Linked DNA regions of Rattus norvegicus. The protein of the gene in region 2 purifies or fractionates together with the protein of the main gene of each other region. This does not show direct contact. Links are inferred from orthologs where the notes say so. Each region holds a gene or a part of one and is shown on either strand. Other genes may lie near its edges.

Region 1 (3,433 bases), on a different chromosome or scaffold from region 2:
TTAGAGTGGATCAACCTTAACATAGTGGATTTGCTTGGAATTTATCCATAAGTGATCCTGATTATTAATTCTTACAGTGTAATTAATCGTTATGATCTTAAAATAATGACTTTACAGACTATTAAGAACTTTTGGTGGGCCTATTAGTTCTTAATTCTTCTGGCCCCATTTCAGTTTTCTCGATAAAGAGACATATCAGCTGGCAGTGCTGCTCAGTTGTTAGAGTGCTTACTTAGCATACGCATAACCCTGGTTTTGGTCCCCAACACGACGTGAACTGAGCAGGGTGGAGAGCCTGTAATCCCATAACTAGGGAAGTGGAAACAGGAAGATCAGGCGTTCAAGGCCAGTCTTGAGCTGTGGGGATCTCTGCAAGTGCCACAGCCAGCAGAATAATGATCTGCATGAAGCAAAAAGACAATCCCACTCAGCGTAACTTAGTGGCCGGTGTTGGTTCAGACTTCTAGAACTGATTCTAGGCTCTATTTTAGTTATATTTTAGTACAGTTTGGGAAACTAATGCAAATCCTGTGTGCACACAGAGGCATATTACATTGAACTCTTCTCAAAGAAATTATCACTTCTTTCACGAAGACGGGTTCCAGATGGGCTTCATGTGACTTCCTTAGGGCCTCGGGGAAGATCTGGTGTGGTCTTAGTCATACAGACAGTACAGAGGTCACCTAGACTATTAACCATCTCCAGTCCTGTGTGTGGGAGCCTGGGAGAACTCCTGGCCATTCAGGTAGCACAAGGATCACCTAGGCTAATAGCCAGCTCCAATCCCAGACTGCTGGGTGGAGAACCCTGAGTGTTTAAATTCCTGGTTTTCCAGTTATCTGTGAGCACAAGGACCTCTGTGCTCCCAACACAAATAGCTACAAGTAGAGGTGGAGGGCAACCTGGGATACAGAAGACTGTATTTCAGACAAAAAATTACTAATTTAGGCAGGAAAGAAAGCCTATAAAATATCTTGCTGTGATCTTTTGCAAATATTAATGAATTATTGCCTTCGTCCTTTATAGTTAAATTCTCAGAATATCAGCTTTCTACTGTAAGAAACCCCTTTTGTTCTAGATAGCAGCATTAGAGTTGTTAGTGCAGGGCCTGGTACGTGAACCTGTTGAGCCTATTACATCTGGTGTGAGAGCTTGATTTAAGCTAATAATCTGAAGATTAGTATAAACCGGGGGGAGGCAGAGGAAATGCAAGCTCAGGGCCAACCTGGGCTATAAAAGCATGTCCTTAAATATATAAGGAAAAAGAAAAGAGAAATGAACCCCCAGTGATAAAACAATAAATGGAAATGAAATGAAGCACATTGTAATTCATTCTCTCTTTTCCTTTTTAGTGCTGTAATCACAACAATTAACCATGATGAAGTCTGGTTTAAGAGGCCTGATGGAAGCAAATCTAAGCTTTATATTTCACAGCTACAGAAAGGAAAATACTCAATTAAACACTCGTAATCACGGTCTAAGTGTTCCCCACATGTACCTTATTAGTGTTACCAAGTGTAATGTGCCATGGGAGCCAGGAAGTGTATTCAGCAGCTTAGTACTCCCACCCATCATGAGAGAATGTGTCTTCTAGGTCGTCCTCAAAGTAGACCCCATACTAGTAAGTCATTAAGAGGAATAGTGATTAGAGCTAATCATGACCATCACGTTTATTTGCCTCGTAGGTCCCGTGCCAACAGGTCTGTGTGGTATGTATTTCTTTCTCCATGTTGTTCAGTTTGTGTCTTACTCATGTGAGTGCGTCTCACCTTTAATGAGCTACAGCTGCAGTCCTCTGCAGTTTCAACCCCACCATTGCCACTCGTGTTTGTACATAAGGCTGATGAAATGTTTCCTATAAATGATTTGTATTAGTGCCGTAGTTTCAATCAGAACTGAAATTTATACACAAGTGTGTGCGTGTGTATATACAGTGTCCCCAGCGTACTTCAAACTGGTGGCCTACCTGTACAATCTTGTTTTACCCCAGATTAAACTGTTGGGTTTGAGGAGAAAAGGGAGCACTTTTGTAGACTGGTTTTCCTTCTCTTCTTCCTTGATGGCAGTGACCTCTTTGCAGATCATATTTGGTGTTTATTAGTAGCATTGTGTCAGGTGTGAACATGTTGCTGCCTGTGTTTATTGTGAGCTTTTAGAGGGCAGGCATCCTGCCTGGTGTTTATGATGCACAGTGTCAGAGTGACAAGTGGCTGGCAGTATTGTCCTGCTTTCTGCACATCTGAACTTTTGAAGATTTTAGTAAGCATTTTCCAGGGGCAAAACTGTATCCTTATTCTAATTTTATTGCTTGAGTAAAATACATATAGACATTTCCCTTAACTCTACCACCCCCAAATTAGCTTTTAAAGAAAAATCTAGTGTTTTTTACACTTTCAGGCCATTTGGTGCAATTTAGAAAATGTTGGCCTCTCTTCCTTTAGCCATGTTCAGAATTAACTTGGAAAGTCTCTGGAGCTGTGCAGAAACTGGAGCCCTCAGCCCGGCCGCGCAGCTGGCTATAGTGTGTACGTAGGGTACAGCCAGATGAAGCACTCTGCTGCTCTCATGCACTTTAATTTCTGTTACAATGGTATTTAAGAGGATGAAGAAGATTCACTTAACACTCCTCAAAGGAGTCCTGCATGATTCCGTTAGTTCCTTAGGATTTTACCTCTGCAGATACCCCGTGCAGGTTACTACTCCACAGTTGCCAAATTGTAACCGTCTGACTTCTGAAATTCAGTATCAGCAACCTTGTGCTGCTCTGTTCTGTTTCTGATCACCCATAGCGGCTGTGTGTACTGTCCCAATCCAGTAGCATTTGGCAGTGCTTATATATATATATACATATATATATGATGTTTGATAAGCATTTTTAATGAGATTTGTATTTTTAAATTTAGTATGTAATAAAAAGAAGTGTTTGAACGTCATTTGTAGTGTTGTGTGTTTCTTACCCACACTGCAGTTCGGTTGTTTATACCCAGTCCGCTTGTGTGGACGGCAGCAGGCCCACTGCTGTGGAAGGCTTCTGCTCGGCGTCCCACACTTGCACCTCCATGAGGCATATGTAAGTTATATTTAACTAAAAATACACTTGCAGTTGTGTTATATTTAAATAAGTGTACTCTGTTTTGAAATTTTAACCAGAAATAATTTAAAGATTTATTTCTCACACTTAAGCATGAAAACTCTGATTTCTATATTCTGACTTACTATTCCACCTTCATGTTAAGGTCAGGGTAACATTAAAATCATAGATTTATTGACAATTTACATCTCACTTCAGAGTGTCTGTCCTGTTGGTTTCCCCTTTACTGATAAAAATATTTGCTCTTTATATATAAATTTATTATTTACTGAGCTCTGGTTCAATTCTAGGTGCAAATCACATGTCATATAAATAACTGGCAAAGATTTCCTCTCATTTTGT
Region 2 (4,097 bases):
AAAAGATATCACTGATCTGTATGGCACTTCACATGACTTCATTTACAAAATCAGACCTGTAATTTATGAAACAATTCCATCTTTGGGGAATACATATTATAAACTTTTGGAGAAATAAAAGGGGAAGTTGTATATCAAGAACTATAAGACTGTCATCTGAGATTTAATATTAATATAAAGCCAACTTACTGGCTGTATTTAATTTTGAGATTTCTCAGATGCTTTAAATGGTTAAATATTTACAGAACGGTTTTGGAGTTGCCAGTGTGATTATGATTGACAATTCACTATAGAAAACCCTGCGGTCTACCTCTGGAGTGTCGATGTCCTGAACAGGTGAGTCTCCTCCATCATCATCGCTCCCTTTCCTCTTCCTTCTGTTTCGAACACTCTGAATTAGGTTCTTATGATAGTCACAAATGTAAAGATGCCTTGCCTGGAAAGGACAAAGAAAGGTTAAAAGACTGTGAGTCCAGAAAACTAAGGTCAGTAAACTGCACAGGCCCAGGCAGCTCACTAAAAACAGTCTAATGGCACTGGCAAGAGGATGCATGTTTCTTTCCAATACTAAACTGCTGTAACATTAGCAATCTGTGATACTGTTAAGGAGATTGGGGGAGGGGTGTAGTAGAAAGTGATGGGCTGGTAGGAAGAATGGTTGGAGAACTCAGGCAGGCACCTGGCAGGCAGACAAGCAGAGGAAGAGAAATTCCAATCCTCTGTGTTTTGTCACCAAATTGCATCGAGGGTGACCTAAATAAGTTAGCTCCTGCTGGTTTTGACTTAAGGGGAGAGGTGACATTGCCCACAATTTTGTACTTGTTAGTATTTTCTCTAACTTGAGAACAGCAAATTATATTAATGGCACATATGCTTCCTTATCTTTCTAATTAGATAGTCAAATTCTACACAGATACAAAGTATGCATTTTTTTACGAATGTGTCATTGAATTCATATTCATATCCTATGTTTAAATTTCAAGCCCCAAGGTTTCTTTTCAAGAATTAAATGAATGCATTTCACTGTATTATGTTGTTTTCAATTAAAGCAAATTGAAATTATTCACGTTCACTTACAAAGTTTCTCATGGACCCTACTGAGAAACTGCCCAAACAGAATCACAAATAAACTTTTCAAAAAAATGTAATTACTCAGGCATTTGAGAGTTATATACGGTGGGATAGAAAGTACTGAGCTGGTTGACACTCTCCCCCTCCCCGCTTTTAAGGCTACAATTAAAGGCCGAATGAACAGGCTTTTCAATTGACTTCTAAGCTAAGGGCAAGTTAAAAATATACAGGATGTGTGGAGGTTCTGTATCTTGTTCTTCCTTTGCCATCAGTCAGAGCTCTGAAAAGTAGTAGTGGAATTCTCTGAAACCTCATAGCTGGCCAAAACAGCAGACGTGCATAAAGACAGAAAAAGAAATCCCGATGGCTGCCGAGAGGGTTGTAAAACCGCAGAGGCTTATTTGCAGCCTTGGTTCAGAGCAGCTGCCCGAAGAGCTGACACCGCAAACGCCGTTTACAACCATCTCTCTGCAAGGCAACTGGTGAGCTCGGCTTCCCTGCCTGTGTTCAAGAGAAAGAGAACACCGAGGAGGAAAGAAAAAGAAAAGGGGGGGGGGGCAGAAGGAAGGGGAGAGAGAGAGAGAGAGAGAGAGAGAGAGAGAAAGAGAGAGAGAGAGAGAGAGAGAGAGAGAGAGAGAGAGAGAGAGAGAGAGAGAGAGAGAGAGAGAGAGAGAGAGAGAGAGAGAGAGAGAGAGAGAGAGAGAGAGAAGCATTGTGGGATCCAGCCAGACTCTACTTTCCCTAGAGGAACAGAGCTACAGAGCTGCTCCCTGGGGCAGACACCGGCTCTGGCAGCAAAACAAAGGCGCCTCCATTCCAGAAGGGACTACACGGCTGCGAGAAAACTACTTGGTGTCGCGGTCCCCTTTGTTTCGTTTCCAGATCGCAGCAAAGGAGGAAGAGGGAAGCCTGGCGTGGGAGACACGCGAGGCAGCGGGAGTCCGGGTGAGGGGAGGAGGGGACCCGCACCACTGCGCGAGCGCGCGCTGGGGGGAAGGTGGCCGGAGTTGCAGGGACTTTGTTTCAATCAGAGAACCACTAATCCCACCTGCAGCCCAGTCTCAGAGACTCGTGAACCCCGCCAAAGATCGGGCAGGGCACGCAGGATAAGGCAGGGCAGGGCGGTCCCGGGGCCACTTACACTCTTATCCAGCTCGATCTTCACCTTCTTCTGGGAGATGCTCTTCTGGATCCTCTTGCTGAAGCTGGCGTTGCCTGCCGCTCGCCCGCACCGCTCACCGTCCTCACGCAAACAACAGAGTTGCCCGGGGCCCGGACCGGCCGCTCCAGGTGGCCCAGAAGCGGACACCGCACCGGCACCGGGTACCTCTGCCCCACCGCCGGCAGCGTTCCCATTCCCCGCCGAGGCGGCGGCAGCTGCAGCAGCGACCACAGCGGCCACGGCGGCGGCCGCATCCCCGCCTCGGCTCATCTCCTCCGGAGTGAAGCCGTTCATGTCTGCCAGTTCGGGGGCGCCGGCGCCGCTACAGAGCCCCGCTCGCCGCGCCGCTCCGCCTCCTTCCCCGGGGCGGCCGTTCACTCCGCACCCCAAGTCTGGCGGCCGCACGGTCCGACGCCCAGAGTCCAAAGCCTGCCGGTCTGCCGGTGCTGGAATAGCGGCCCGTTCCTGTGACTGTGATCAGGACTGGAGTGGCGCCTAGAAACGGGACCCCACTCACTGTCACATGGAGACTTCAGCAGTTGGACCGAAGCTTCTCCGCCTCCTTCTAGCCCCAGAACCTGCGCGAGGGAGACGCCCCTCCTCCGGCCCCGCCCCTCCCCTGCCGCGAGGCCCCACGGGAATGGTAGTTCTTGGTCGCGGAGCCAACTTGCGCTCTGTTCTGATTACGTGCGGGACCGACGGGACAAACTACTCGTCCCAGCATGCATCGCGCGGCGAGCCACCCGTGGGTCTTTTTTTTTTTTTTTTTTTTTTTTTCTATTCCAAGCACTGGGCAAATCTGACTGTGAGGTCAGGCGTTTACCGTGTTTTCTCGTCTCTGTACTGTCATGCGAGCAAGGGCTGGATTTAGCTCCTGTTTCTTCGCAAAGTTAGTGTTCAGACCGCCAGCTGACTCCTAGAAAGAAGCCTAAATATGTGTGTGTGTGTGTGTGTGTGTGTGTGTGTGTGTGTGTGTGTGTGTGTGTGGTGGGTTAGTAAAGATTAAGTGAGAAAAAGTTTACGGGCTGTTGGTATTTATGGAAAAACTCGCGCTACCTAGAGCTCTTTAGGCGCAGAGTCCTACGTCTCCATCTCCGTGCCGCAGCTGATTTCTAGAGCGTGTCAGGTCCTCGGTACACTCGTGTGCCAACCGGTTGACAGGCATTGGGCTGCCTGTCGCCTCTACTGCAGCTTGGATCCCTTTCAAAAGGATCTAAGAGGATTTGAGACCATTTAAAGGAACCACACTAGTATCACCTTTGCTGACTGCTCCTCAAAAACTTCTCTGCGCTGGCTGTAGAGGACGAGGACGGAGAACCCTCTTCTCTTGAGTCATATATATATGCATGTGTGTGCGCTTATGTGTGTCGCGGGTGGGGTAGTTTGCGCGCGTGCGCGCCTGGGTACGTGTTTGTGCCCGCGTAGCGTGTATTCTTGCCTGCGCTTGTGGTGGGCGGGGTGGAGGGATGGGCGTGGCCATGCCAACCCTGCACCTCTGCTAATTATTGGACTATTTAGCAATCCTACTGATTAAGCAAAAATAATGCATTTCAGGTGGAGTTTTGAAAGAAAGCCTTTTTAAGATTTTGTCAATTCAGTGACTATGTACATATATGTGTGTATGTATATATGTATGTATATGTATGTATATATCAACATGGCAAAAATAAAAGTTATCCATGTTATCTGTGTATGGAGGGCACACTTGTGATCCAGATCTTGAGACTGAAAGACACAGGCTTTTGATCTGGATCTTGAGGAATAGAGGCCATGAAAAGCTTAGGTCCAAGCATGGTAGTACATACCTTTAATGCAAAGAGACAAAGCCAAGCAGATCTCTGAGTTCAAGACCAGCTTGGGACAG
Region 3 (3,500 bases), on a different chromosome or scaffold from region 2:
ACAAATGGAAGACAGAAACTCCCTATAGTGGCCCACGCCTCCCCCACACAGCCAACTGAACATCAGGGCGAGCCATGTGCACGTACGGCACCTGCCTGCACAGGATGTCCAACAGCAGCCATGGACATCGGGGCTAAAGGACCACTGAAAAGATGGCAGGAGTGGTGTACTACCTGGGTTGTCTAACCAGTGTTTGTTGAATGAATAAATGAGCTTCTCGAGTTCCTGCCTATTACTTCCAACGAAAGTCACAGGCAACCAGAACGGCTCATCTACGAGTTTTAGGATATAATCTCCCAACTACACTACACCCTGAGAGCAACAGGACTGTCTAAGAAAAGGTACCGCCGTCGGGTGAAAAGCATCTACCCCATGAGAGCCGTGTGGCGCTGAGAACACCCACTCGGCTTACCTCCAACCTGCTTAGATCACAAAACCCTTTCTTCCTGTCACCTTTAACATAGGAGGGGGTGGAGAAGGCCATATACCCTGTCATGGCTAGACGGGGACAGCCTGTAAACTCTAGCGTGGAGACAGCAACATGATACAGAAAGCTCCACAGGGCATGCTTGGAGAAACACTGCTCTCAGTGGCCTCCCGAGGCATCCACCAGCTGGCCCTTAGTCTTCAAGCAGAAGCTCACCAAAGGCTCCGAGTCTGGGCCAGAGCCCAGCACTGGGCCCGAGTCTCAGCACCACCAAAAGAAACTAAACTAATGTCCAAAGAGCTAAGCCGAGAAAACAGAGACAACATCGGCTCACCCGGCCCAACCCTCCCAACAGCCCTGCTGACACCGCTATGAGCTGTCCACACGCCTCACAACTTACCATCGCTCTTCCGAGACGGCTGTGAGCCGCACATGCTCCTCGTGACTTACCATCTCTTATCATAATACAGTTTGCCATCTTCTATCCGCGCCTCAAATCTCTGTGCTGGAGACTCTGCAGGTGTGGCAGGCAAGTGTTCAGGAGAGGATGGGGAGGCTGGAGGAATTAGAGACGCCAAGATGACAAGCAGACAAGTGAACCTGGCCTGAGCAAGGGGCTCAGCGATGCCACGCAGGAACTGATACACCAGTGAGGCCACAGCCCTGACCAACAAGTCCTTCAGTTAGTTATGGAGCCAAAGTCACTGTGCTGCCTGGGTTGGGTGCAGTGGCTATCCACAGGGGCCTCTGGCTATCCACGGGGGCCATTAGTGCTGACTGCATCAGTCTCTGTAACCTGGTGGCCCCTCACTGCCAGGTTAACATGTTGATTCTAAACTCAGTGTGGTCACCAAATCAGCATAGCTCAGTGAAATATTCTGAGTGTTTCAAGGGTGTATGGCCTACTAATGAGGACTAGGAACAGCCAGGGGGCCTAACCTGACCAGACCTTCACAGACCAGTAATGCCAGGGCTGAGCTCCAGAAAGCCCAGGACACTGAAATTTCCGATGGATTCAAGAGTGGAACTGAAAATGGTCCTGAACCTAGTGTCCGCCCGACACCCACACAGAAGGAGCCTCCAAGAGCCAAGCGAAGGTCTCCTTTACAGTAGAGTCCTAAGGAAAAGACAGAATGGCTGGCTTTAAAGAGACAGCACAGAAGAGACGGGTTTATGATTTCCTGTCCTCCTCATGACTTCTTGTGATTCACTCCTGGAAACCACACACCTGCTTTCCCAATGACAGGGGACAAAGACTGGCAATGTCATCGGCACTCACCTGGTCTCTTGGGTGACTTAAGCTGTAGGAAGAATAACAACAAAAAGGTCTCAGAGAAAATCATCTTACAAGCAACTTAAAGCATCAGAGGTGTCACGGTGACTTTAACAAGTGACAGGGACTTAAGTCACATGTGAGCTTTCAAGTACGTCAGAAACATCCCACTGTACCTTGTTCAGTGTTCTCAGATCTTCCATGATCTGCTCGTCTGTCAACAAGTAGTTTAGCTGAGGTGCTGAGAGTTAAAGAACATGTGCATCGCATGGCTTCCAAGGAAAGGCACACAACGCCCCGACGTTTTGGGACTGGAGAGGCCCAGGCCACACAGAGGCTGTCCTCAAGGTAAGAACTCTCCTCTTTAAAACGCTGACTCTCGTGCTAAAAGTCATCAGGCATAGGGAAGAACTCAACATGCCTCTCGCTCGGACAAACTGCTCTGAGGGGAAGGGAATTAGATGTCAGCAGTGGTGGGAACACAGGACAGTAAGGGGACAATTTCATCTCAGGGTTGAAAGCACTGAAGCTTTCCAGACATAGAGGGAAACTCTAGTCTCACAGGGGCTTAATTGTGCTGCGAAGGTGAGAGGGCCTGGAGCTTGTCCTCGGCTGGAGGCACACAAAGTACAGCCCACTCTGGCCCACCGGCCATGTCTATGGGTACACAGCATCTTTCCATAAACGCCTTACCTACTTGTGGCCAGTTCACAGCCCAGCAGTACAGAGGCAGGTACCTGGTGGGCCCGGGCAGTCTGCAGCCCAGTACTATAGTCGGATAACTGGTGGACACAGCTGTCCCTCAATTTACATATCTCATTGTAAGTTGCCCTGAGCTCTAAGGGAGTGTGAAAACAAGGCTGTTTCTAAAAGAGTTCCTTTCTATGTAACTTCTCTGGAAACCTCTCCAATAAAAAGCAATAGCTGAAGACTCCAGGGCAAAACGGCCACCCGACCCGTGGGTTTCCATATGCTTTCCCGACCAGTGCTGGCACTGCTCTGTGAGATCCCGCCCTGTCTACTCTATCAAGCCAGCAAGCACAGGATTACACCATTCAAGCTTGGCACAAGTGGATATCAGGAGCTGGTTTTCTCCTCTTGTCTGGAATGGGGACAGGATCGTTTGGTCGCCTCCGTAATTTTCTGGTCATGATGGGTTTCACTTCCATAGAATCTGTGTCAAGAACAGGAATGAATCGATCCAACGGCCCCTGAAGCCAGCTGGAGTCCAGGCAGATTAAGAACGTTTGTCCCACGGACACCCCATCACAGCTGTATGACCAGCAAGCTCAGTCTATGCGAGACCCTGGACGCCCAGGCCAGGCTGCAGGCCCTGTGCTTACCTGAGTCAGGCTGGCTGAGCACCCATAGTCACAGGCTATGGGACTGAAAAGAGGCTGCGGATCAGGCAGGCACCTCATGTCTGCTGCTTCCACAGAGGCTGGGGGCTGAAGCCCAGGGGCATAGAAAACCCTTTTAAAGGCAACTGACCCCAAGCCCTTTGTAGCTACCTGAGGTCAAGACTGATACACCAAAGACTGGGAATGGGGCTGCCTTTCATTCTGGATTTCTCTACATGAGGTTCGGTAGATGGACTCCACACAGGGTAGCCTCTCCTCCCCCAGCAGTGGCCACTCAGATATGCTCTCCCCAGGGCGGTGGGCAAACCTGTCACCCAAGCCTGCCCCTGCCTGCAGGTTTACTTTCAACACCAGCAAGTCCTGCTCTTGAGAGCTTCAAACATCCACTTCCTCTGAGTCTGGCCAGGGAGCCCCAGAGCTCAACTGGGGCAGCATAGAA
Region 4 (3,112 bases), on a different chromosome or scaffold from region 2:
GACTTCTTCCATGGAGACTGTCAAATGGGCAGGAGCACTTGCTAAGTATTGGGACGCCAGGAAGGTCGGCAGGGGTTTCAGTGAAGAGGTCAGGTAGGAAGTTTGCTGTCTGCAGGTGATGGAGGACAGAGCTGCAGTGTTGATTTGCCTTTTCTCTTCTTTATGTATCATTCCTCCAGGAGCCACACTCAAGAGGTCATTTATCCAGACCTGAAGCCCAAAGTCTCTCCCCCTATACAACCAGTGCTAACCGGGCTAAGTTGCTGGCTAAGAACAGGCAAACTTTCTTGCTCCAGACCACAAAGCTGACTCGTCTTGCTAGACGGATGTGCAGAGACCTGTTACAGCCAAGGAGGGCTGCCCGAAGACCCTATGCCCCCATCAATGCCAACGCCATCAAGGCAGAGTGTAAGGACTGCGTGCTAGTGCAGAGGCTTTGATCTGCCATGTCTGATGGTGTATGCTTAGAACATAAGCCCTCAGGCTGAGACAGGATATAGCTACCTCAGTCCCTGTTAGACCAGGCTATGTAATGGCTCCGGCCTAGCCTGGATTAAATAGTAGGACCCAATCTTAAGAAACAAGGCTAGGCATTGTTACACATGCCGGTAACCAAGCAGTGGAGAAGTGGAGTCAGCAGGATGATAAGCAAGTTCTAGGCTGGGACTTCACTGCAGAACCATTTCAAAAACCCAAAACAAAGCTGCAGAATGCCCAGAGGCTCTTCTCTCTTCTCCAGGCTCTATCCGACTTCCTAAGGCTGCCAAGACACCGTTGAAGATTCACCCCCTGGCGAGACTGCCCTTGGCAGCTATTGTCAAAGATCTGGGTAGGAGATGGGAACTACACTCAATCCAGGGTGGGTGGAAGGTTGCCAGCTAAGAGTCTTTTCTTCCTCAGAGTTTTCCTTTCACACTGAGTCCACATAAACTGTGTGTGTGTGTGTGTGTGTGTGTGTGTGTTCTCTTATTATGGTGCTTCTTGTGATAATTGGTTTTTGGTGGTGGTGCTGTAGATCAAAACCCAGAACCTCATGTATTCTGGTCAAGTATTTACCATTGAGCTCCATCTCTGGCATAGTAGTGGCTTTACATAAGTATTTTCTGATCTGAAACATGTTTTTTAAAATTTGATTAAGTAGCTTGATAGACCTTTTTCTCCATTACTAATCTTTAGGCCATTAGGGTAAACAACTGGTCAGGGTAGAGAGGGAAGAAAGAATGGTAATGAGAAGGTCTTGTTCTATTTCATCTCCCTTCTTCCTCTGCTGATAGTGGCTCAGGCACCTCTGAAACCAAAAACACCTCGGGGCACCAAGACACCAATCAACAGAAACCAGCTGACCCAGAATCGAGGCCTGGGGGGCATTATGGTGAAACGTTCCTATGAGACTGTGAGTGACAGTGGACTGGGAAGGCTGAATGGGGTGGGCTTTTATTTCTAGTAGGAGTCTAAGGAAGGTAGCTCCTTCATGTACACCATGTCCTTTTCCAGATGGCAGGGGCAGGGGTTCCCTTCTCTGCCAATGGAAGGCCTCTGGCTTCAGGGATTCGTTCAAGCTCACAGCCAGCAGCCAAGCGTCAGAAACTAAACCCTGCTGATGCTCCCAATCCAGTGGTATTTGTGGCCACAAAGGATACCAGGTAGGGAGGGAGTCCACCATGGGAGGGGCTGAGAGGCTGACGATCAAGTTGGCGGGCATTGGAAGTTGTAGGAGTGTCTGAGAAAGAGAGGTGCACAGCAGAATGAGGCGAGGGTAGAACTGTAGAGTGCATTGTGGAGTTTTATCTGGTTGAGTCTTGCTGCTCCTCAAGCCTCCCTGTTTCTGTCTTGCTCTTTTTGGCCAGGGCTTTAAGGAAAGCTCTAACTCACCTGGAAATGCGCCGAGCTGCTCGAAGGCCCAACTTACCCCTGAAGGTGAAGACAGCGCTGATGACAGTGCGGCCCCCAGTTCCTCTGCCGGCATCTTCACATCCTGCTAGCACCAATGAGCCCATTGTCCTGGAGGATTGAGCATCTTAGGGGAAGGGAGGTGGGATGAGAGGTAAAGGGTTGGTTGCCCAGGGCATACAAATCTTCATTCCTTTTGGTATCAAAGGGAGTAAGGAGTGAGGGAGGGTTGGAGTTGGTGTGCGTGTGTCCTTGCAGGGGTTGAACACCCTCTGGTGTTACTGCCAGTATCTCCCCTTTTTGGGCTTCTCCATGCCTGTGATGGAAAACAGCCTATAGGAACTTACTTGTGTGTACCTACCCTATTTGGGGCCTGGGACCCACAGTGGGTTTGGACAGTTGGGGGGAGGGTTTTTTAATTTTTTTAAAAATTTACCTTCCTTTGTAAAAGGATGGAGGAAGGGAAGAGTAAACATATCAGGTGTTGGTCCCTGGCAGGGGGAAGGGGGAGTACACTGCCATGTCTCTTTTCTTTATTTTCTATTGGGGATGGGGGGGTTACTCTTACTGTCCGGTGTCCGGACTTTCCTTATTGGAGTTTGAGGGCCCTAAGCTGGCATCAACCCCAGCCCATGCTCACTCTTCTTCCCTCCCCTTTCTCCCTCTGCCTTTTATATGCCAATTCTCAGAAATAAAGATCTTTTGTCTGTTTTTTAACCTCAGATTCTGTAATTGGTTCTTATAGTGACGAATAAAAAGCTCTTTTCTTCAGCTCCTCCAGGCTCAGCTGTTTTCTGCTGCTGCTGTGTGTGTGTGTGTGTGTGTGTGTGTGTGTGTGTGTGTGTGTGTGTGTGTGAGAGAGAGAGAGAGAGAGAGAGAGAGTGTGTGTGTGTGTGTGTGAGAGAGTGTGTGTGTTGTGAGAGTGTGTGTGTGTGTTGGGGGTATCTTTGAGGGGAAATAGAGGACAAAGGACATTGAAAGAGGTACAGATGGTGCTTGTTCTAGGAACAGCTTTACGAGATAAGCAGTGGGACTGGAGGTAGTCTGTGCCAGCTAGCCTTCTTGTGGGACTAAAGCTTCTCCCATTGGGGCTGGAGTGCAAGCAGTATCTTGATCTGGATTCATTCAAAGCTCTCTAATGGCTCTGAGTCTCCACAGAAAGGTGTGAGAATGTCTTCCTGTTACCCACTTCTCCCTTTTGATGCTGGGGAGTTGATCCCAG
Region 5 (4,291 bases), about 14 Mb from region 2:
CCGGAGCTGGGGATCGAACCCAGGGCCTTGCGCCTGCTAGGCAAGCGCTCTACCGCTGAGCTAAATCCCCAACCCTGCAAAAAATGTTTAAATCAATTGTGTTTTCCTTTGTTTCTCTACTTAATAGACCGTGCAATAATTTCTGAAAAACACTTACATCAGACCCCCACACTAGAAAATACTTACGAATCAGTGAAAATAAAATCTGAAACAGAAATATATAAAGCTTCTAACAAAAATAAAACTGTGAAGTTGAGCTTAGCAACTAGGTGCCAACGCAGAAGCAAGGCCACTATCTGTGTATTAACCTTGGAATTAATCCCAATCAGAATGGAGCTGATTTGCATTAACCTGAGTCTTGTAAGGTCAACTACTCATGTTACCTGAACAATTTATGACAATTATAGGTAACTGGCATCACAGATTTCCCTGTCAAAAAACTATGTCACTACCAACCTAAAAGAGTGTGATTTTTGCGCCTTCAAAGAATACATTACAGTTTTGATATAAAGAAACTACATATTTTGGCAAAGAATTCTCAAGCTCATGTCTCACTGCTAGATTGCAATTCACATATGTCCCCCATAAAATACCACAGGATGATGCTCATTTTATAAAAGGGTGGAAATAGGGGCAGACTTGTAGGACTTTTACCTATCCTGTGTGAGACCTAACTTCAGTCTCTTGGGAATGAGAGGAATCATGCAGTTTAAAAATGGTTGTTTTTGAAACAGACAGCTTTGAGATAAAATATTCTCCACATAATTAACTGAATACATCACTTCATCTTTATAAATTTTGTCTAAAGTAAATTTTTACCTCATAAATTTTGAATCTGGTGAAAACACTGACGTTCTATAAACAATCTTATCAGAGACTCAGAAAACAAGTTTGTAGATTGAAACAACTAAGTGCTCTAACGTGCTAAGTCATCATGGGCTGTATTACAGGATTAAGTTACAGGACTGGTGATGGTCCGGGAGAACAGAATGGTTCCATGTTGTTTTTATGGTCCATATTAGATCTCTACAGTTTCCTGACTAGGAGTTACTAAAGCCTGAACATATCCCCATTTAAATATCTCCTGTCCTAGCAGTCCCTAAAGGACCTAAAGGTATGATAGTCCCTAAAGATAATTCCCTGCCCTAGTTTCTTTGCTAACAACACAAAAAAGCTTTTCTCCTCATTTAAACTTGGTGGAGGAGGAACCCAAGGGTGCAAGGACGCCAGGTGGTTGCCCAGCCAACGAACCCACTTCCTCCAGAAGTCCGGAAGTGACACATAGCCCGGAACCTACGCTAAGCCAGGGTCAGAGACAGTCCCACGGCAGTGCCCGCGCCTTGATTCACTCTCGGGGTAGGACAGATTTGAAACATCACCACCCAACGCTAACTCCGCCCAGGCCCTTCTACTGTCCCGCCCGCAGTCAGTTCAGTTCACCCGGCCCCTAGGAGCAGCCCGCTGTGGCCGACGCCCGCGGGAGCGCGCGCCCCGCCCATACGACGTCACACCTGCAGGCCCCGCCCCTAGGCTGGGCCCTCCCCGCCACACACACAGACACACAGACACACAGACACACACACGGACACACAGACACACACAGACACACACCCCTTCTCCGCCCGGCCCTGCGGGGGACCCCTCCCCCTTTAACCATTGGGCAATAGCAGAGGAAGAGCTGAGGCACCGGGCGGCCCGGAACTTTCCCCGGGGCGAAAGGGAAGCACAGACTGTCCCAGTCCCGCGCCACGCCGGGAGGCGGTGGGGGGGGTGCATCTCCGGAGTCCACCTTCGCCGTCCTCTCTCCCCCTCCCCCCATACGTTCCAATGCATCTGCTCGCAGAGGGAGGAAGCCCAGCGGGCAAGGGGCAAGCAGGCCCAGCACCTAGTCCAGCCCGCGTCCCGCTGCTGCACATTCGCCAGCCCCGGGCAGGACAGAGTGCGGCACCCAGCCGGCAGGCACCGGAACAAATGCTCGCTTAAAATGGCTGATTCCCGGTCCGCGGCAGCTGCAGCCAGCCGCCAGAGCTGCAGCGGGGGCTGACGGGCGGTCCTCGGAAGTCCTAGTCAGCCGCAGCCGGGACAGGGAGGGCCGCGAGTGTGTTGTGCAGGACCCTCTCCCGGTCCTACACACCAGATCGCTCGGTGCACTTCGCGCACACTTACACCCGAGAGAGGGAAAGTACCTTGGTATTTGTTGTCCAGCTCCCGCAGCACCGACACGTTCCTCTGCATGTCGTGGGGCAGCGACTCCACACACTCCAGGTAGTCCTGCACGTAGCAGGTGAGCAGCCGGCTCCGCTCTCCGGTCAGGAGCGCGGCCGACGAGTACAGCTGCTGCTGCTGCCCTAACATCCTGCCGCCGCTGCTGCTCCTCGCCGCCGCCGCCGCCGCCGCCTCCGCATCCAGCAGCCACACATGCAACAGCCACGACCGCCGCTCCTCCGCTCGGCAGCCCGGCGCCGCGGGGACACGGCCGCCGCTCGAGAGGGCACCGCCGAGTCCCCCGATCTCCACTCCCCCCAGAAGAAACCCTTACTCCCCGCCCCCGCGGTAACAAGCCCAAGGGCGGGGCGAGACCGGGGCTCCCTCCGGCCCCCTCCCTCGCTGGGAGAGAGCAGCGGGGTTCCCCGCGGCCGACGGCGCCGGGCTCCCGGGCGGTGACACTGGCTGTCCCCCCTGGGACTCCCCAGACACCACCAGAGCTGCCCGGTCGCCCGGATCCCCGTGACAAGACCCTCGCTATCCTCTCGCCTCGCTATCAGCCTCCTTGCCTGTCGGAGTCTCAGTGGACTTGCCCCCGCCCCTTGGCCAGAGGCCGCATCTGCGCCTGCGCAGCACTCACTCCTAATAAGGCTGGGGCCCCGCCCCTATCGCCCTACCGAAGAGTTCGCATTCTCCCGCCTTCCCTGCGCCACCCGGGCGATTGGTCTGTCAACTCTCGCCTGGGGCGGGGGGAGGGTGCGGAGGGCGGCCAAACGGCAGGCTGCGCCCCGCCCCCTCTTAAAGGGGCCGCATGGCTGAGCCTGCCCCTTCGCCCAAACTCTGACGGTTGCCCCCGAGAGGCCAGGCGACCGCTCTCTCGTTTTCTGGACCCTGGAGGGAGAGGAAGCTTCTGCTCGGCTCGCTCGGTCCCGAGTTACCGACCTTGCCTCCATCTGGCGGATCCAGCGCCTCCCTCGCGAGCCTCCAAGACAGCAGCGAGCGGCCCCTGGGCGCTGCTGGCCGAGTGAGGCCTGAGAGAACTAAAGCGACCCAGGGTGCAGCGGGCGCGGCTCCGGGCATGCGCGGCGACTTCCCGCCGAGCGCCCCGCGGCCACGGTTGTGCTCCGGTCGCCGCCAGGCTCCCGGAGTACCGGGGCCGACCGCGGAGGTAGGCGGTGCGCCCCCTGCCCTCGGTTTTTAAATGCCGATTCCCGCCTCGCATGCGGTCCCCTCCCCCCAGCTCCAGGGTGGCTCGCAGGGTCGGCTCCCCTCCCCGCGCGCCTTAGAGTTTGGTTTAGGGAGAAGGTGACAAGACTGCGCCCCGCCCTGTCCCCCGACCCCAAACCACCTTAAGGACACTGTTTCCATAGGTCGAATCGCTTAGGCATCACACACCAGGGAGGACTTGGCGTGGCCGCAGAATGAGAGACGCACACATACACACAGACGACACTGTATTTTTCACTACACACACGCGCGCGGCACTGTATTTTCACTCGGCTTCACCACTAACCAGCAGGGGAGCCGTGCAGATGGGATTAAAAATCGGATCAGCCACCGAGTGCGGTGCTGTCTGTGTGAGCGGTTGGTTAGCCGCCTTACTCTCCCAGTACCATCAGTGAAATGCCAGGAGGAGGAGCTAACTGTAATTACGGATAGACTTCCGGAATGTATATAAATATGTGAGCTGTTTGGTTTTTGTTTTTGTTTCCCCAGAAATAGGTATAAGTAAGAGTACTCACCGAATTTTGATGCAACGCTTGTGTAAACCCCCATGGGAGCAGAGTCTCTGAGTAAGAAAAGGCCAGAGAGATGAGTTTGGGGTGCTCTTGCCTGGTTTGCAGCGCTGTACCTGTTGCACGGCCTGTTCCGAACACTTGCGAAGTGCTATATGCAAAGCAGGTGTTTGCCAAGGGAAATCTAGGTCCGGGTCTAAGTGAAAATTTGGATTCGTAAAACACAACGCGGAATTCGGCGTCCCGAGGACAAGAGTTATCTTGTAAGGCCTGGGAACTCAGGGGTTAATATCCTTTAACGCTGAGATTTTGACCAGTCGAATATTAGGTCAACCCAGGCAAACACACTA
Region 6 (3,500 bases), on a different chromosome or scaffold from region 2:
CACAGAGCTCCACTTGATTATGCTACTCCCTCCCTCCCTTCCTCCCTCCCTCCCTGTTTCCCTCCCTCCCTCTAAAACTTTTGTGTTTAAGCTGATCTGAGATGGTGTTTTAGTTACCCTGTATGGGTCATTTAACTCAGAGTGTGCTCTAGATTAAAATACTTTACAAAGTTCACTGAGTAATTTGTCTTACTAGCTTGTGAATTTGATAGGAAAATGTCAGTTTTTCTTTTTGTTAGAAGTGTTGATTTAAAAATAATACTTTTATATTTACTATAACTGAATTTATTTCAAAGTTCAATAGCTCAATATTTACATACTTAGAGTGGTCTGGCATTTGTTTGAGTACTCAAACTTTTTATTTGTAAACCACAATTAAAATTTATCATTTATTTTTCATGCATTTGAGCCTGGACCCAGTAAATGTAGCTCACCATATTTGTTATGTGTGCTAAAATGTATTACTGCCATCCCACTTCGAATTTAAAAATTTTTATTTCCCTTTGTCCATTAGATTGAAAGTGGAGCTGTTTGGAAGCAAGTCTACCAAGACCTTGGCATCCCTGTCTTAAATTCAGCTGCAGGATATAACGTTAAATGTGCTTACAAAAAGTGAGTCGGTGTACTTGACGTGACTGTCTTCATATCTTACCTAAAAACAACATGCAATATATCATTTAACTTAAGCTAACTTAGAAGAAACTGAAAATTTTTACTATTTAGTCTATAGAAATAATTCTAGATATTAAAGAATCTGTAAAGAAAATGTTAGATTCCATCATCATGTGAAAAGTACTGCATAGAAATTAAAAGCTCATGTCCCAGAGCCAAAGGTATCCTATTAGCTGTGGGTATTCTTTGACCCTATCTGGCTTTCCTTAAGTTTATTTTCCCTAGTTTATTTACAAAGGGGTCACTATGGCTTGCCCATTAGGAATGTTCTGCTTTTGAATGAAGTTTACTAAAGTGCCTTATACTTTGCATATTATAAATACTCAAAATAGATTTTTACCATTTATAATCTTTATAGCTTCTCCTTTGTATCTACTGTTGTTACTTTTATTTAGATTGTAACTTTTCACTCTTACTTCAGGTATTATTTTTGAAGTTCCTTGGGCGCTTCATGTGTTTTGACCACATTCACCCCTAACTCTTTCTTCTCCACCCACCCAACTTTGTTTTTCTTTCTCCCTTTCCTTTCCCTTTCTTTCTCTCTCTTTACTTCCCTCCTTTATCTGTCATTTTTTTTCTACAAGACCAATTTGTGTGGCCTAAATATTTTTAAATGTATGTTCTTCTACTTGGAGAGTGGTTAACTTACCAGGGATTATACTTAGAGAGAAAATTCTGTCTGTCTGTCTGTCTGCCTGCCTGCCCGCCTCCCTCCCTGCCTGCCTGCCTCCCCGACCCCCCAGCAGCTAACAATTACCAATAGTTCCATAACTTGGGTGGGATCGAGTACTCAATTTGGTCTGGTTTTGTCTTACATAGGTTTTGTACATTGTATTACAACTACTTTGAGTTCATGTATGTAGCTCCCCTGCTGTGTATAGAAGACAGTTTCTTTGTAGCCATCCACTACAATAGGCTGTTGTACTCCTTACATTCCTTCTTCCACAGTGGTTTCTGAGTCTTGGAAGGGGAGTAGCTATATATTCATATACACATACACATGTATTTTTTCTGTATAGGACTGAGCATTCTGCAGTCTCTTATTTTCTGTACCTTAGCTACTAACTATTTGTGGACCATTGTCTACTGCAAGTAGAAGTTTCTTAGGTGATCTGTGAGTGTAATGGTAAATTATTAGTTTAATATTTGTCCATTAAGCCAAAGATTAATAGGTTCTCCTTTAGGGCTTGTGACCTAATGACACAGGTTCTTAGCCTTGTAGTGGTACCCAGGTATGGGTTTTGCTCTGTGGAGTGGGACTCACAGGAAGCAGTTGATTACTCCCACAGTGTTTGTGCCACTGTTGCCCTAGAGGGCACGTTTTCCAGGCCACAGTCATCATTGTAGCTGGAAACGTTAAAATAGTTGGGTGTGATTAAGGATTACTTTTCTCCTCCCGTAGTTTACTTAGCACCTTTCAGACTATAAAAGACAGCATTTTGGGATGAGATATCCACGTTTCTAGTAGCATGAATCCTATAACTCAAGCATGTGGTGTCTTCAGTAGTAGTATCTTGCTCTCCAGTTCTGAAGGGTAACCAAGAGCAGTTAGGTAATAGCTTAAACTTAAAATGTTTCAGGGGTCTATTGACTATCAGGCCTATAGCCTTCAAAGGCAGTAAGTAACTCATCCCCACTGGGCTTTTCATTTGTTATCTTCTGGTGTCTAGTAGGGGCATTGTTGATCGATTACTGCGTAATGTGTTTTTAAAAGGTCTTTGTTATTTATTCCCTTTTCTAACACACCTTCCATTCCTTCACCCCGGTTTAACTCTTCCTGTTCCATTATTCCCTTTTTAACTTTTTATACAAGTGTATTCAATCCCTTCCCTTAAAGGTCCCTTCTTTTGGTTTCTTAGTAACCTCAGACCTTTGTGGGTATTTCAGATGAAGTACACATATTCCGAAGATTGAACATTAACATTTACAGACAACTGAAAACCTGATGTTTTTCTTTCTCGGTCTGGTTTACCTCACTTTAGAGTGATTGTTTCCACCTCCATTCATTTACCTGTGACTTTAAATAGTCAATTGATTTTATTTGATACAATGTTTAAAATGGGGGGTGGGGCGTTTCTGGGCATGGTGGCCCATGTCTGTAACCCCAGAATTTGGGAGACTTGAGATAAGAGAGCCAATAATTTTAGGGTTACACATTTAGTAATTTTTCTCTCAATAAAAGATGGAGAACTATTAGAATGTGTTAAGATGATCATATAACCTAAGACATGAATGCATATTAACTAACAACTTTGTAAAGTGGCCACTGTAATGCATCTGTGTGACCTCCAGGAGGCTTTAGCATCTTCTCCGGCTTCAGGCCACCCCCCCTCCCCCCGCACCCCCAATGAAACAAAAAGAAAACAAGCTAAAGTAACCCTACACACTATTCAGTAATGTATTTGAGTGTTTCTTGCTAAATGTATCGTTTTTGCATGTTTCCAGGTACTTATATGGCTTTGAAGAGTACTGCAGGTCGGCAAATATTGATTTTCAGATGGCATTGCCAGAGAAAGTTCTTAACAAGCCATGTAAAGATTGTGAAAATAAAGAAATAAAAGTTAAAGAAGAAAGTGATGCAGAGATCAAAGAAGTAAATGTGGAAGACAGTAAGAACATGATACCAAAAGAGGAGACGCCTGCTGAGGATGAGAGTGAAAGAAAAGAAAATATCAAACCCTCTCTGGTAACCATATACCGTTAATTGTCATCTGTCATCTAGATAGATTTTCTAATCATTTGTGAAGTTCTTCCAATCAATTTATTAGCTTTCTATGCATTATTATTCTTTTTTTTTTTTTTCTTCTTTTTGGAGCTGGGGACCTAAC
Region 7 (3,500 bases), on a different chromosome or scaffold from region 2:
GATGGATACAGTGTAAAAAGGCAAACAGTGTCTCAGCATTTCTACGATTGTTGCAAACTGCCAGGTTATGACAGCTCTGAGGAAACCTGGTTCTATTTGTTAGTTTGATTTTTTTCAACAATTTCCAACTGTTTTACATTCTAATGGAAGGTTAAAACTCCTTAAATTGATTACAATGTATTTAACTTATAAGAATAAGTCAATCCTATTGCAGGATATTAAAACTTTAATCAACGTTTTTCGTAAACGTATCACTGGAAGTCAGGTGTGGGTACAACCCTGTAATCACAGTAACTCGAAGGGGATGTTAGGACAGGTCTCTGAGTTCTAGGTTCATCAGGCCTGCACTGCAGGGCCCTGTTACAAACACAACCATCCAGGAGTGGTGCTGTGTACCTGCAATCTGCATTCAGGAGGAAGCTGCAGGAGGAGCCCAGCCCAAGTCTGAGACCAGCCTGGAAGGAAGTCTAGGAAGACTGCCTGAAAATGACAGCGAGAAACTCTCTTCCTTTAGATTACCACAGACTTGTTCTAAGGTAACTGTAGGGAGCACACAACACGCCGGGCTGAAAGTCGGTCTTGCTGCAGGTTTATCTCCACTGCCCTGTCACTTTAAGCTGTCACCCTGTCCTCCAGCCAACGTCTCTTTGCTATAGTATTTCCCTAACGGAGCACACTGTGCATTGTTACCTCGGGGTAAGTGGGAAGCGCCGATGTGAAGAGGGGGTCCGGGAGCACTGCTGCGGATAATGGACATCTGAACGTTTGTGGTCATAATGTGATGCAGGTTACTGGGATGTCCCTGGAAGAAACAGTGACAATGTTCACGAGGACAGTCTTAGCTATTGCCTACAGAAAGTCACTTTCCTTCAAACTGGGTCAGGCTATTCTTGAAAATTTTCCTTTTCCTTTATGCTGTTTTGGAGATTTCCAGGGCAAAAGCATGTATGATTCAAGATTGACGTACGGTCTTGAGTCAGGCCATTCCTTTTGGATACTGAGTATTGTGTACGGCTATACTACCCTGCATACACCCAATCTCAACTGGGAGGCACCCAGGGAAAGGGCTCCGGGAGCTTTGTCTTCTACTGTGTTATAATAATGACCTGTAAGCGAGCAGGTCAGAAGTGAGTGCACTTGAGCTAGTTACCAGACCCCGGACCGAGGAGACATCTGACGGTCTATTTGTAGTAGCTCATGTCTGCACCAGTCTTTTAGACTTGTTCTCCCTTTCCTGGCCACAGGCTCATTTACCCACCACTCTATTTTTTTTAAATAGATCTTTGTATCCATTACTGTTTATGCTATTTAAGATTTCTACATGCATGTCAGTCAATCCAACAGATACTGCCTCTAAGGGCTTCAGCTCATTCCTTCAGTATCCAGCACACTGACGTAAGTGCATCTCAGGTGACATTTCCAGACTTCTAGAAACTACTTAGCATATTAAACTGAGAACAAGACAGGGCATCTTTTTTAAATATTAATTTTTCTTAAAAACACCAAAGGGGGCTGGACAGATGGCTCAGTGGTTAAGAGCACTGACTGCTCTTCCAGAGGTCCTGAGTTCAATTCCCAGCAACCACATGGTGGTTCACAACCATCTGTAATGGAATCTAACGCCCTCTTCTTTTGTGTCTGAAGACAGCTACAGTGTACTTATATATAGTAAATGAATATTTAAAAAAAAAACAAAGGAAAAGAATCTTAAGATTTAGTTTCTTCACAAATAAGTGTGATAATTCAAAGTATTAAATAATCAACTACAAATAATGGAATACAATTAAAATTTCAAGTTCAAACAGGAGATTTTGGTATAAATGTTCACAAACAGGGCAGACAGAGCCTGCTACACATCTACTATCCCCAAGAAAACCTAGGATGCCTCCAACAATCCTGCTGGGAGGCAGTCTCACCTCAGAACTGTCTCTTTCTAATTAAGCACGTGAAGGCTGTAACTCTATTTGTAACTATCTGTGATTTTATTAGGAAGGTAGCATAGTAGCTGGCACAGGATATGCCCAGCAGATACAGCCTAACCACTAAGCAGCCTGGGACTTACTCCTTTTGATTCAGCGCTGTTCTCTCTCTGTGGGCACCAGTAACCATTTAATTATTTAGGACACTGCTTATGCATCCCTGGAGTTAAATACACAATAATCAACAGCTGGTACTGCCATTAGAAAACTAACAGTCAGGAGGAGAAAATAACCTGTTGTCCACTGATCGTTGCCACAGGAATGGCTGAAGCCTGAGGGATGCTGCTCTCCATGGTAACAGTAACCTGTCCTGGAACTTTCGGGGGAAGTGACATGGTAGAAGGGGGAGCAGGAGCAATGGGACGGCTCGGCATGGTGGGCTTCGGGGATGGCTGCAAATAGAAAAGTGCAGGAGACGTGTCAATAGCTTTGCCTAGAGGTGCATTTCAGTTTAACAGCACACACGTCCAGTCGCAGAGGCGTACAAAATGAGACAGGCAGCACATGGCTCACCTGTCAGCACAGCTCTTCTGCAGAACTACTGGTGGTTTATAGAACAGAGGACGAAATGTCCAGACAAGCTAAACGTCTTACTCAGAGACACAGAAAGTACAAAGCAGAACTGGGGAGAAAGCCTGGATCTGTACTGCTCACACTATATGCCTTGTCTTCTACACAATTCTGCCTCTCACATCTGCACAGAAGTAAACAGAACTCTCAGTAACTAAAAGTTACTGAGTTAACCCAAGTAACACAGAGAGCAACAGGCTCAGATACCCCCAAGTGAGTCAGCTTCTAAAGCAAACCACGGGAAAGAGTTCCAAGATCAAACTCACTTAGCATATATGTAAGCTGAGCAATTATCAACATTATACCACAGAATCAAACATGGTGCTATACACCTACAATCCCAGTAAGTGGGGGGCAGACCCAAGAATACGGTCCCAAGTTTGAGGCTAGGTTGGTCTACATGGGGAGTTCCAGGACGGCCTGGATTATAGTATAAACTTCATTTTAAAACAAATAAGCAACTTGATAAAAAATACAACAACAAAAAAGGGTAACAGAAAACTCCTGTGACGCCAAGTGCCCAGGACAGCCTCATCACTGCAGACGAGTAAACCTCTACATTACAGTGAAGACTGAACTGACAGTCAGAGGGGAAAAGCTGAGGAAGCACCCTAGGACCCAACCTAAGACTCGGATAGCTTTGCTCAAGGGCAAGCTGTCTCCAGCTGTGGTTCAGCGTGAACTTTAAACTGTTACCTTCATAAGTCCTTCCGAAAAAGAGAGTGTGACTGCTGGTGTCAGGTGTGCTGGCGGGGCTGTCACTGCGACAGGAGTGGCTGAGGCGACAGCATGGTGTGCGGGCAGCATCTGTACCTGTGGATAGGGCCTTACCACAACTGGCTCCTGCTTCTCTTCCCGGGGCGGCAGGGAGCTGCTAGGGCCCACGTGCTCCCTGGTACCAACATCAGCATCTCGGCCAGCCTCCTCGTTAACTAGTGAAGATATTAGGAT

The links.
Region 1: the proteins of Sap30 (region 2) and Brms1l purify together in Homo sapiens (affinity purification with mass spectrometry; 4 studies listed by BioGRID and IntAct, with this or other methods). This does not show direct contact. The link is inferred for Rattus norvegicus from reciprocal best matches to the Homo sapiens genes SAP30 and BRMS1L.
Region 3: the proteins of Sap30 (region 2) and Suds3 purify together in Homo sapiens (affinity purification with mass spectrometry; 4 studies listed by BioGRID and IntAct, with this or other methods). This does not show direct contact. The link is inferred for Rattus norvegicus from reciprocal best matches to the Homo sapiens genes SAP30 and SUDS3.
Region 4: the proteins of Sap30 (region 2) and Mta2 purify together in Homo sapiens (affinity purification with mass spectrometry; 3 studies listed by BioGRID, with this or other methods). This does not show direct contact. The link is inferred for Rattus norvegicus from reciprocal best matches to the Homo sapiens genes SAP30 and MTA2.
Region 5: the proteins of Sap30 (region 2) and Ing2 purify together in Homo sapiens (affinity purification with mass spectrometry; 3 studies listed by BioGRID and IntAct, counting the BioPlex papers as one, with this or other methods). This does not show direct contact. The link is inferred for Rattus norvegicus from reciprocal best matches to the Homo sapiens genes SAP30 and ING2.
Region 6: the proteins of Sap30 (region 2) and Arid4b purify together in Homo sapiens (affinity purification with mass spectrometry; 5 studies listed by BioGRID and IntAct, with this or other methods). This does not show direct contact. The link is inferred for Rattus norvegicus from reciprocal best matches to the Homo sapiens genes SAP30 and ARID4B.
Region 7: the proteins of Sap30 (region 2) and Sap130 purify together in Homo sapiens (affinity purification with mass spectrometry; 4 studies listed by BioGRID and IntAct, with this or other methods). This does not show direct contact. The link is inferred for Rattus norvegicus from reciprocal best matches to the Homo sapiens genes SAP30 and SAP130.

The regions. Positions count from the first base shown.
Region 1 is NC_086024.1:79,032,803-79,036,235, forward strand, and holds the end of Brms1l (breast cancer metastasis-suppressor 1-like protein), read left to right. Parts: intron 1-1,352; coding exon 1,353-1,470; 3' UTR 1,471-2,933; downstream 2,934-3,433. UniProt on the Homo sapiens protein: Involved in the histone deacetylase (HDAC1)-dependent transcriptional repression activity. When overexpressed in lung cancer cell line that lacks p53/TP53 expression, inhibits cell growth.
Region 2 is NC_086034.1:37,757,197-37,761,293, reverse strand, and holds the start of Sap30 (histone deacetylase complex subunit SAP30), read right to left. Parts: upstream 2,801-4,097; 5' UTR 2,528-2,800; coding exon 2,213-2,527; intron 437-2,212; coding exon 311-436; intron 1-310. UniProt on the Homo sapiens protein: Involved in the functional recruitment of the Sin3-histone deacetylase complex (HDAC) to a specific subset of N-CoR corepressor complexes. Capable of transcription repression by N-CoR.
Region 3 is NC_086030.1:45,151,464-45,154,963, reverse strand, and holds part of Suds3 (sin3 histone deacetylase corepressor complex component SDS3), read right to left. Parts: intron 2,875-3,500; coding exon 2,779-2,874; intron 1,939-2,778; coding exon 1,877-1,938; intron 1,729-1,876; coding exon 1,707-1,728; intron 984-1,706; coding exon 878-983; intron 1-877.
Region 4 is NC_086019.1:215,273,397-215,276,508, forward strand, and holds the end of Mta2 (metastasis-associated protein MTA2), read left to right. Parts: intron 1-179; coding exon 180-408; intron 409-739; coding exon 740-829; intron 830-1,274; coding exon 1,275-1,393; intron 1,394-1,494; coding exon 1,495-1,643; intron 1,644-1,847; coding exon 1,848-2,013; 3' UTR 2,014-2,612; downstream 2,613-3,112. UniProt on the Homo sapiens protein: May function as a transcriptional coregulator. Acts as a component of the histone deacetylase NuRD complex which participates in the remodeling of chromatin.
Region 5 is NC_086034.1:51,306,801-51,311,091, reverse strand, and holds the start of Ing2 (inhibitor of growth protein 2), read right to left. Parts: upstream 2,801-4,291; 5' UTR 2,356-2,800; coding exon 2,187-2,355; intron 2,057-2,186; exon of another isoform or gene 820-2,056; intron 1-819. UniProt on the Homo sapiens protein: Seems to be involved in p53/TP53 activation and p53/TP53-dependent apoptotic pathways, probably by enhancing acetylation of p53/TP53. Component of a mSin3A-like corepressor complex, which is probably involved in deacetylation of nucleosomal histones.
Region 6 is NC_086035.1:55,878,383-55,881,882, reverse strand, and holds part of Arid4b (AT-rich interactive domain-containing protein 4B), read left to right. Parts: intron 1-514; coding exon 515-612; intron 613-3,117; coding exon 3,118-3,358; intron 3,359-3,500. UniProt on the Homo sapiens protein: Acts as a transcriptional repressor. May function in the assembly and/or enzymatic activity of the Sin3A corepressor complex or in mediating interactions between the complex and other regulatory complexes.
Region 7 is NC_086036.1:23,551,745-23,555,244, reverse strand, and holds part of Sap130 (histone deacetylase complex subunit SAP130), read right to left. Parts: intron 3,482-3,500; coding exon 3,246-3,481; intron 2,372-3,245; coding exon 2,213-2,371; intron 803-2,212; coding exon 691-802; intron 1-690. UniProt on the Homo sapiens protein: Acts as a transcriptional repressor. May function in the assembly and/or enzymatic activity of the mSin3A corepressor complex or in mediating interactions between the complex and other regulatory complexes.